Caenorhabditis elegans: one gene and its partner. The protein of the gene in region 1 interacts with the protein of each later gene in a biochemical or structural test. Each region holds a gene or a part of one and is shown on either strand. Other genes may lie near its edges.

Evidence for each region.
Region 2: the proteins of flp-12 (region 1) and egl-6 interact in a test that uses a peptide from one of them, tested with the Caenorhabditis elegans proteins (one large-scale study listed by BioGRID).

Annotation. Positions count from the first base shown.
Region 1 is NC_003284.9:4,590,501-4,594,121, forward strand, and holds flp-12 (FMRF-Like Peptide), read right to left. Parts: upstream 1,905-3,621; 5' UTR 1,828-1,904; coding exon 1,764-1,827; exon of another isoform or gene 1,180-1,763; coding exon 1,109-1,179; intron 1,052-1,108; coding exon 929-1,051; 3' UTR 781-928; downstream 1-780.
Region 2 is NC_003284.9:5,930,420-5,935,048, reverse strand, and holds egl-6 (G-protein coupled receptors family 1 profile domain-containing protein), read right to left. Parts: upstream 2,464-4,629; 5' UTR 2,282-2,463; coding exon 2,103-2,281; intron 2,051-2,102; coding exon 1,937-2,050; intron 1,890-1,936; coding exon 1,813-1,889; intron 1,762-1,812; coding exon 1,595-1,761; intron 1,544-1,594; coding exon 1,208-1,543; intron 1,106-1,207; coding exon 883-1,105; intron 774-882; coding exon 682-773; 3' UTR 517-681; downstream 1-516.

The DNA of each region.
Region 1 (3,621 bases):
ATGGAACATCTTCACGGATTTTAATCAATGCTAAAAACCAGCAAACAATTTTTCTAAGTTCCATTTCGATCTCGTTCTCGTTTCTGATTATGCATCGCATGGGAACCTGAAAACAAAATAAAATGCTTTATTGCAGTTTACGAGAAATTTTTCAGAAGCAATTAGACATTCAAAACAAAGTGTAAAAATTGAAATTACAAATAGAAATTTAACTTTTTACATTTTTCGTAACTTTTTTGTGCTTCCAAGTAGAATTGAAATTGGGAAGGTTGAAAATCTAATACAGTTGATTAAACTTTTGTACTGTATATAAAAATTCAGATTTCAAAACTTTGGCTAATTTTTAAGCCAACTATTTGAACTGTCTAATTGCGTAGTTAAGTAGCGATGTGTGAAGTTCTCGGTGAGCACGGTATGTTGTTGTTGTTGGTTTTTAGAAAGAAATTTCAAACTACTAAAATATTCTAAAAATTATATTATCATTTAATTTTTTTAAAATCTGGTTATCAAATCAAAACGCAATTTTCGGTTGTATTTTAACGAGTTTAACGAGTAAAACTACAATCTTAAGATTGTTCAAAAGAATGACAAATTTCCTAACAACTTAAGTTAGACAGGATTCTTCCAGCTTTTATAAATATCAGCCTAAATTTGGCTTTATAAACTCAAATTGTATTATTTCATATTTCCAAGTCAAAATTTAACAGGCTTTATAAATTTCCAATTTTCTTCCAATTTTTTAAAAGGAAAATTGCAATAAACACGGGATAAACAAGGAAAAACAATTCAAGTTTTATTTTCATCGGCTGCTATCACAATTCATTACGAAATTGACATAGAGAGTGAGAACATTTGAGAGATTCAGAGATTCAGAAGGTTAAATAGATCCTTTTCAAGGTTGGAAACAATGCTCGGCTCAAATGATGCTCTACTTTCGTCCAAATCGAATGAACTCGAACTTGTTGCGTCGTTTTTCGGCCATCTTGAGCTGCTGGTTGCCCTCCTGAAGTGCTTCCAACTCTGATAGAGCATTCAGCAGCTGAGCACTAATCTGAAAACAATTGAGAAATGATCGAGTTGCTCTCGGTGCGGTAAGCAGTAACAGTACCTTGTTTACGCTTTCGTGGCTCAGTTCCCCATCGTACATGGCTGCCGGGAGTACTTCAGGCGATCCTTTGACTAAAAACAATACATTAAAGATAATATCAATGTGTCTAGTCGGGTTTTCTTGCTGGGCCCCATAAGACGAGTTCCTAAAATGCAATGGGCCAAGAATATTTTCTTCCGTTTCTGTTTCTCGATTTGCTACTTGTTATTCAGAATCTCACTTTTATCTAGTTTTTTTTTTGCTTTATTTTCAGAAAGATTTTTGTCCAGAAGAGTCCCTAATTTCCAGCTAGGCCACACTGCGCTTTGTGTTATTTGCACAACAGGAAGAGGAATTTTTCTTGGTGTAATTATGCATGTTGGATGAGAAATAGTTGGGACTAATGGGATTAATGAGTCGGTGACTCGACGCTAGGACATTCCAATTTTTTGCGCCTAATTTTTGAGACATATTTTGGAAGTGAATTGCATTACTAGATTGTGTATTGAGGATTTATGTACATGTTTGGTTTTGACAGGATTCACCCACTCGGAGACTCCTTGTCAAATTGTAATTCTTAGCACGACGACACCAATTCGTTTTAACAATACATGGAGAGCTATGTCTAGTGTTACATTTTGAAAGCTATTTCTGAAACAAGGAACTAGTGGCTTACCTTTCTGTGTAGCACATGTTGCAATAAGGCAGAACAAAAGGGCGATGATGACTTGAACATTCATGTTTACTGAAAGTTCAGCTTGTGTGGCGCAAATATTATGCCGATCTGAATCTGGCGAGCTTATGTGCCGACCAAGTGGGCGTGGCCTAATGATGGTCCTCCCCTTTTGGGAGGAGAAATTATGGTGGATGAAGTTGAGCTCTCAATGTCACCAAGACAGCAAAAAAATAGAAGGAGTGGAAAAGAAAAAATGAAATCATGTGTCTTTTCGGGAGAAGATTGATGGTAGACAATAGTTGGAAAATTGGGCAATCCGTCCTCTCACCACACAACTCGTCATCGCTTTCCGCCGGCAGTGCTTCTTCTCCTCCATACTGATTGTGAAGGATAGAGGAATCCCGGATGAAGGCGGCGAAAAAGTGATGCTGGTGTGACACGCACAAAAGGCGCAAATTGGAAGGCAAAAGGCGCGACCGTGGGGGTCCAGAAATATTGTGCACAATATAACAATGCAAGACACTTTTGAGATTCCGTACAAAACATTATTGAAAGAATGTCTAAATTGGAGTGCAATCTCCGGAAGCATGACAAATTTACAGAGTCGAAACGGAACTATTTTGAGAAGCCTATCCCTCTCTATATAGTGCAACCACCAATTGCATCTATTCACAGATTTTGAAATCGCTGTTGCTGTTTTATACAAGAAAACAGCAAAGTACACAAGAAAACCTACCCATAAATGTGTAAAATACTATTTCGATGACTTGTCAAATTAATTTGAAACAAAATTCTTATTCTATGTACACTCTTCCAAAATTAACTTATGTCCAGGACGCCCACTGTGTGTATTTCTTTGAATTCATAAGTCATAGAGATGAAGTACTCCCCAAAGCATCTTGATTAAAAACAAGATCGTTTCAATGGCACAATAAGAATCAAAGTTTAACTACTGGTTTTTGAAACTTTAAAGCCATCCAGAATTATCTCAGGCTTCTATTTTGATCTCTGCAATAATTATGTTTTCCAATTCCAGGAAGGCAATTCTAGAAGTATACCAAAATTTTTGAGTTTCAGTATTTTTCAATTTGAAACCAAATAGTAATATTATCAACAAACATACTAATATTATCAACTCCAAACTAGGTGTCATGTAACTCGATTATCTCATTATTTTTCTCCAAAATATTTTCATATGCTGATTCATCAAACATCATCACGTAAATAAAACACACATTTGCAACCATTTAGCATTAACCGTAATCCCCCTATCGTATATAAGGCTTAAAAGGGCCGCCAGGCTGGAAGACTGCATGATCAAAAGATTTTCTAAGGAGCCATCTGAAGATACCACCGGACTTTTGAGCAAGATATGCAAGCGTGGCGTTGTGAATTTTTAGCTTCAAAATATTAGAGCTGGTCTCACGGTGAGCATTAAAAGATTTTCCAAATAATACTGGTAACAGTTTCAAAAAGAATATATGCTCCTATTGTAAATTTACTTCAACTCGAAATTACTTTTTTTGTTCATAATCAATTTTAATGTCTTCACATTAATAAACGTCTGGCTTTTTACCAGTTTGAACACTTTTGAATTTATCAGATTTGGAAAAGCTTTAAAGTTCGAAAAAACTGCTCCAAAACTTTTCCTCGTTCAGGAAACTCGTATAAGTTTCCGTTCTGTTTTAAGACAAGTTCAAAACCAATGAACTTTTTTCAGAAGGGCTTGAAGAAAAAAGGAAGAGGAAGTGGAACCATTTACTCAAGTTTCAGTATGTGGATTGGTCAAATATCAAATGTTGGCTCAAGTGGGGTGACTTAAGTGTTTATTGGAACGATTTTATCAGTCGTACATTCC
Region 2 (4,629 bases), 1.3 Mb from region 1:
ATAACCCCATAAAAAAGCATTCCGGGATGTAGTAACTCATTGTCTACGTAAGTGACCCCAAAAACTTCTTATCGCTATACGTCTACGTATTAACTTCACTGACAGGAGAATACTTTTGAAGGTGTTCAGAAAATATTATTCTTTCCGTTTAAAAATTCCGCTAAGACTGTCTGTCAAGATATGAACACTTGAGACTTTTTGCAACAAAAAAAAACCAAACGCTTCAAAATACTGCAATTTTTATTGTTTTGATAGATTAAGAAGCGATTCAATTTGTTAGTGTAGCAGATAAATATGCTATTTTTTCTATTTAGAATTTAAAAAAATTAACAAGTATGCTGAAAAATTATATTTAAGGTTTTAGAAAACTTTTAAATTCTAAAGAAAATTGCTTTAAAAAAAGTCAATTAGACAAAATCATTGAACACTTATTTTTTCATAACTTTGATTTTTAACTTTGAAACTTCAGTTTTCCAACTTTTAAAAGCTGTTCAAATAGAGAAAACACACTATATTAGTAAAACAATACAAGTTTTATTCATTCTCGGAAGATTTCAAGATAAACAAGAATCACATTTTCAAACTTGTGACTTTCAAATTTTTCAGACGAATTGAAGTTCACAACGGGATAAATACAAAAATCAAGAATTATAGTTGAATTGAATAACTACGCAAAGGAGATTAAGACCCGACATATGAGCTTGGCGCAGTTCTATTTATCAGAAAAGTTCGTGGGGACTTTGTTTCGTCGTCATGTCGATGATTCCAACTTCCTGAAAAATTGTATTTTGAATTGAACTTTTTAGTCAGAAAAAATTGTGAGTAAAATGTAGTTATCTCAAGTAGATGATTCATCCTACAATTTTGTTTGAAAGTACTCACTTCGAGTTCCTCTTAAACTATTCTTTCTGGTCCATGGGAAGAATAGTGCTCGGAACGTGGAGAGATACTCATTGGACATGGTGCAATAGAGAACGAAGCTAACAGAGCTGTACAACAGCGTCAGCATTTCCATCAGATTTCCCACTGGATCGTAATACCGATTTCCGAACTCTTCACCGTAGATAGCCACGCACAAGTTAAGAATACCCATGGGTAGTTCTACCTGGAATCAGACATACGTTTCATGGTAATCATAGACAAAATAATATAAATAATCGTAACAATACAGCAATCACATACGATCAGACATTAAATAGTGACTAACCATTACACATAGGAGTAGAATGATGACGAGCATTCGTGTTGTGCGCGGTCTGGTCGTCAACTTTCTTTTTGCTTTTCTCTCGGAGTTGGTGCAAATGTTGGCACCTTGTGTACGCTTCCAGTTTTTACGCCTTCGTTCTACGCTTTTCAAAGATCTTATAAGAGCAATGAGTAGTATTGAGAGAATTAACGACGGAAGTAGTTTGAACACAATACCAAATGCCCAGAAAACTGCGGACACGAGAAGTGGACTCTCTTGATAACTGAGGTCGTACAATGGACCTTCCATTTCGCATTGCAAATCATAAGCAACGTGGTCACGAGCGACAATTTTAACCTGAAACATAGATGAAATCAGATTCGAGATATGAAGATTAACTACACAAACCTCGGATATGAAAAACAATGGAAGACTGATGATAGGAATGATGATCCAAATGATAACGTTTGCTGCGATTGCTGGCTGGCATTTATAGATGAATCTATTCGCTTGAATTGGAAACTTCAGTGCACAATACCGAAACACTGCGACAACGATCGTCGTTGTGAATGCAACTGAAAAGTATTTGAGTACAGTAATATGCTTGCCAATCTAAAAATACTTACTTGTATGAAATACTGTATTCAGGTTGACATTGAAGAATCTATATCTTGTAAATGCTTCGGACCATAATAATTGAACACTGCAAAAAACTGGAACATTGTTTTTTTTATTTGATGCATGACGTACCATTGATATCTATAATACTCAAGCAATAAGTAAAGGAAGTAATTGGTCGCTAGGAGCCATTGTGCAATGGAGAGACCTGTGAGCAGGATGTTTATTGGGGTTCGCATCCGTTTTCTGGAATAACAGGTACATTCATCCGTAAAAAATAAAGAAATATATAACTTACCTTGTGAGCACAATAATATTGAAGACGTTTGAAGCGGCTCCGAATATACAGATAGAAATTGAAAGAGGAATATGAATTTCATCGTAGTACTGCAAAAAGGACTTGTCAGTTATGGCTCGCGACGAGACATTTGTTGCATTTTCACGACCCGACAATCCGAGTTCCGTCCATTTCCCCATTTTTTCACTCTTTCACGTTTCGGAACGAGCCCGAATAGGGAAGCAAATATGGGAAAGCAAAAAAGATTCCGGTTCAAAATGCTGGAAAAGCTTCAAACGTCCATTCACAACCGGATTATCCCAGCGACAATCTCTAACAACGAGATAGCAGGAAAAATTGGACGACAAAATAAATATTCGTTCCAGTCAAAACGGAGTGGGAGGGAAAGGGGAAATCTAGTGAAATCAGTGTTGGAAGTTCCGCCCACTGTGTAGCGCGTGCCCCTGTCTATCAGCTAATTATTTTTCAAGTTGTGTGCATCGCGTGTCCCCCCAAATGACACCATACTGATTCACTGGTGCCCAGTCAGAAACACATAGATGAGTCTCTGAAAGACTAACTCGCAGTGTGAGGCCGTAAAACGGGTTTACGATCGGCTCCCAATAGAGTCTCGTACGCAACTAACACCCAAAGTACACGTGCAGAATTGCAGAATTATTTAGGTCATTTGAGGAATGGGACACTACTCCGAAAATGGGGAAAATGTTTGAAACTGTTCATATGCCGCTACATTAGGTCCTGATAGGTTTTGTTCCCCCAAAATGTTTTAATTTTCTAAAATTAAATTTTCCACCTTTCAAATTAAAAACAAAAACAAAAGTACGGAACAAAGCATTCGTTTCTCCAAATCGTTCCAAAAAAGTTCACGTTTTTGTGGTTAATTGTAACTTAGAAAATTAAAACATTTTGAGGGTAACAAAACCCATGAGTACCCTACAATAAATCATAATAGCAAACTTTTCGAGTCCAATTTGACAAAATTTTCCAAAATTTACATTCGGAGTTGCTTGAAATTTCTCAAACAGTCCAAACTTTTAGAAAACTTGACAATTTACCAAAACTTTGATTGAAATTTTTTGAAAAATCGGAGCATTTTTGAAGTGTTGCACGATTATATTTGACTATTATGAATGTGATTAAATAATATTCCCACTGATGATACTCCAACTTTGATAGTTTCACATAAGTGTTTAAACCAAGTGAAAATTATATTTTCGATGTAAATTTGTCTAGACAGTGACTTTTGTCCTATTATACAATTTGAAATTTCAAGGGTTCAAACTTTTGAGGTTGCTTAAAAAAAACGTCCATGCTTTTTGATAACTTGGTAATTCACCACAACTTTTACTGAATATTTTGAAAAATCTAAGAATGTTTGGAGTGTTTCACAATGATATTTGTTCATGTCAGACTATCATGATTGTAAATTCAAACCCCCCCCCCTCTTCACTGATGTTACTTTACTATTAATAGTGTTTATAAGTGCTTTAAAAACGTTCAATGTTCTTGAATATTCAAAATAGAATGTTGCTTCAACACATCTAATCTCATATCTTGAGACATTTTGCTCTCCGATTAGTGATAACAATTAATTTTTCCTAAACTGTTCTTTGGCAAATATCAAAATTGAAACAATGATCCTATGGCTTCTATCACAAATTTGCAATTTTTCCAAATTTCCAACGCGTCATCAAAACCACCTCCCGAGATTTTAATGCTTTGAACTCACCATGGCAAACATGTGGATATAGCATTCGAAGTATGTACAGATCAGTGTGTCATTCATTGCTGAAAAGCTGTCATTGTGTTCTATGATGTTCTCCATCTGCAACAAAAGACCTGTGTTGTTTTCAAAGTTATGCAGGGAGAAGAACAAGAAAACGTGAGGAAACGGAGGTGAAGGCAACAGAAAAAAGATCAGGAAAAACCTTTTGACGTTATATAAATTATTAAATCATGAGCATTATATAAAGATTTCTGGAGTATAGAAAGTTCCATACCTTAAATGAGTTCAAAATTCAAGAACAGTACGTAGAAATGATTAATGTCTAGTCTCGGGAACTTATATTCCCCTGGCACGGTCTACCGTCATATAAGGTTTTCGCAGTACATTCTGACAAATTTATTGTTGCAGAAAGAAAAAAAGAAAATTGAAAAAGACACGAACGCAGCTTGAGATAAATAATTTTCGAATCCGGTACACCGTCATTCTCCTACAAAATGAAGGAAGGTTGACTGAATAATTAAATTAATGTTTTCTTTCATGCTATTTTCAAGACAAAAGACAAACCCGGACACTGATCTGTCTATTTGTAAGTGACAAGTAGAATAATATATCAAGGAAAACAATGGACGAGGGATGAACATTTTAGTGTTTGTTTCAAATCACATTTCGAACTCGAGGCGACGTTTTAAATCTCCGCTACTTTGCTCTTTTGCACTCTGAATTTTTGATCATCAATGGAAATCTTACATCTTCAATATTTTCAAACGAAAAATCCAGCGGTCAGTTGAGAGTCTATGAATT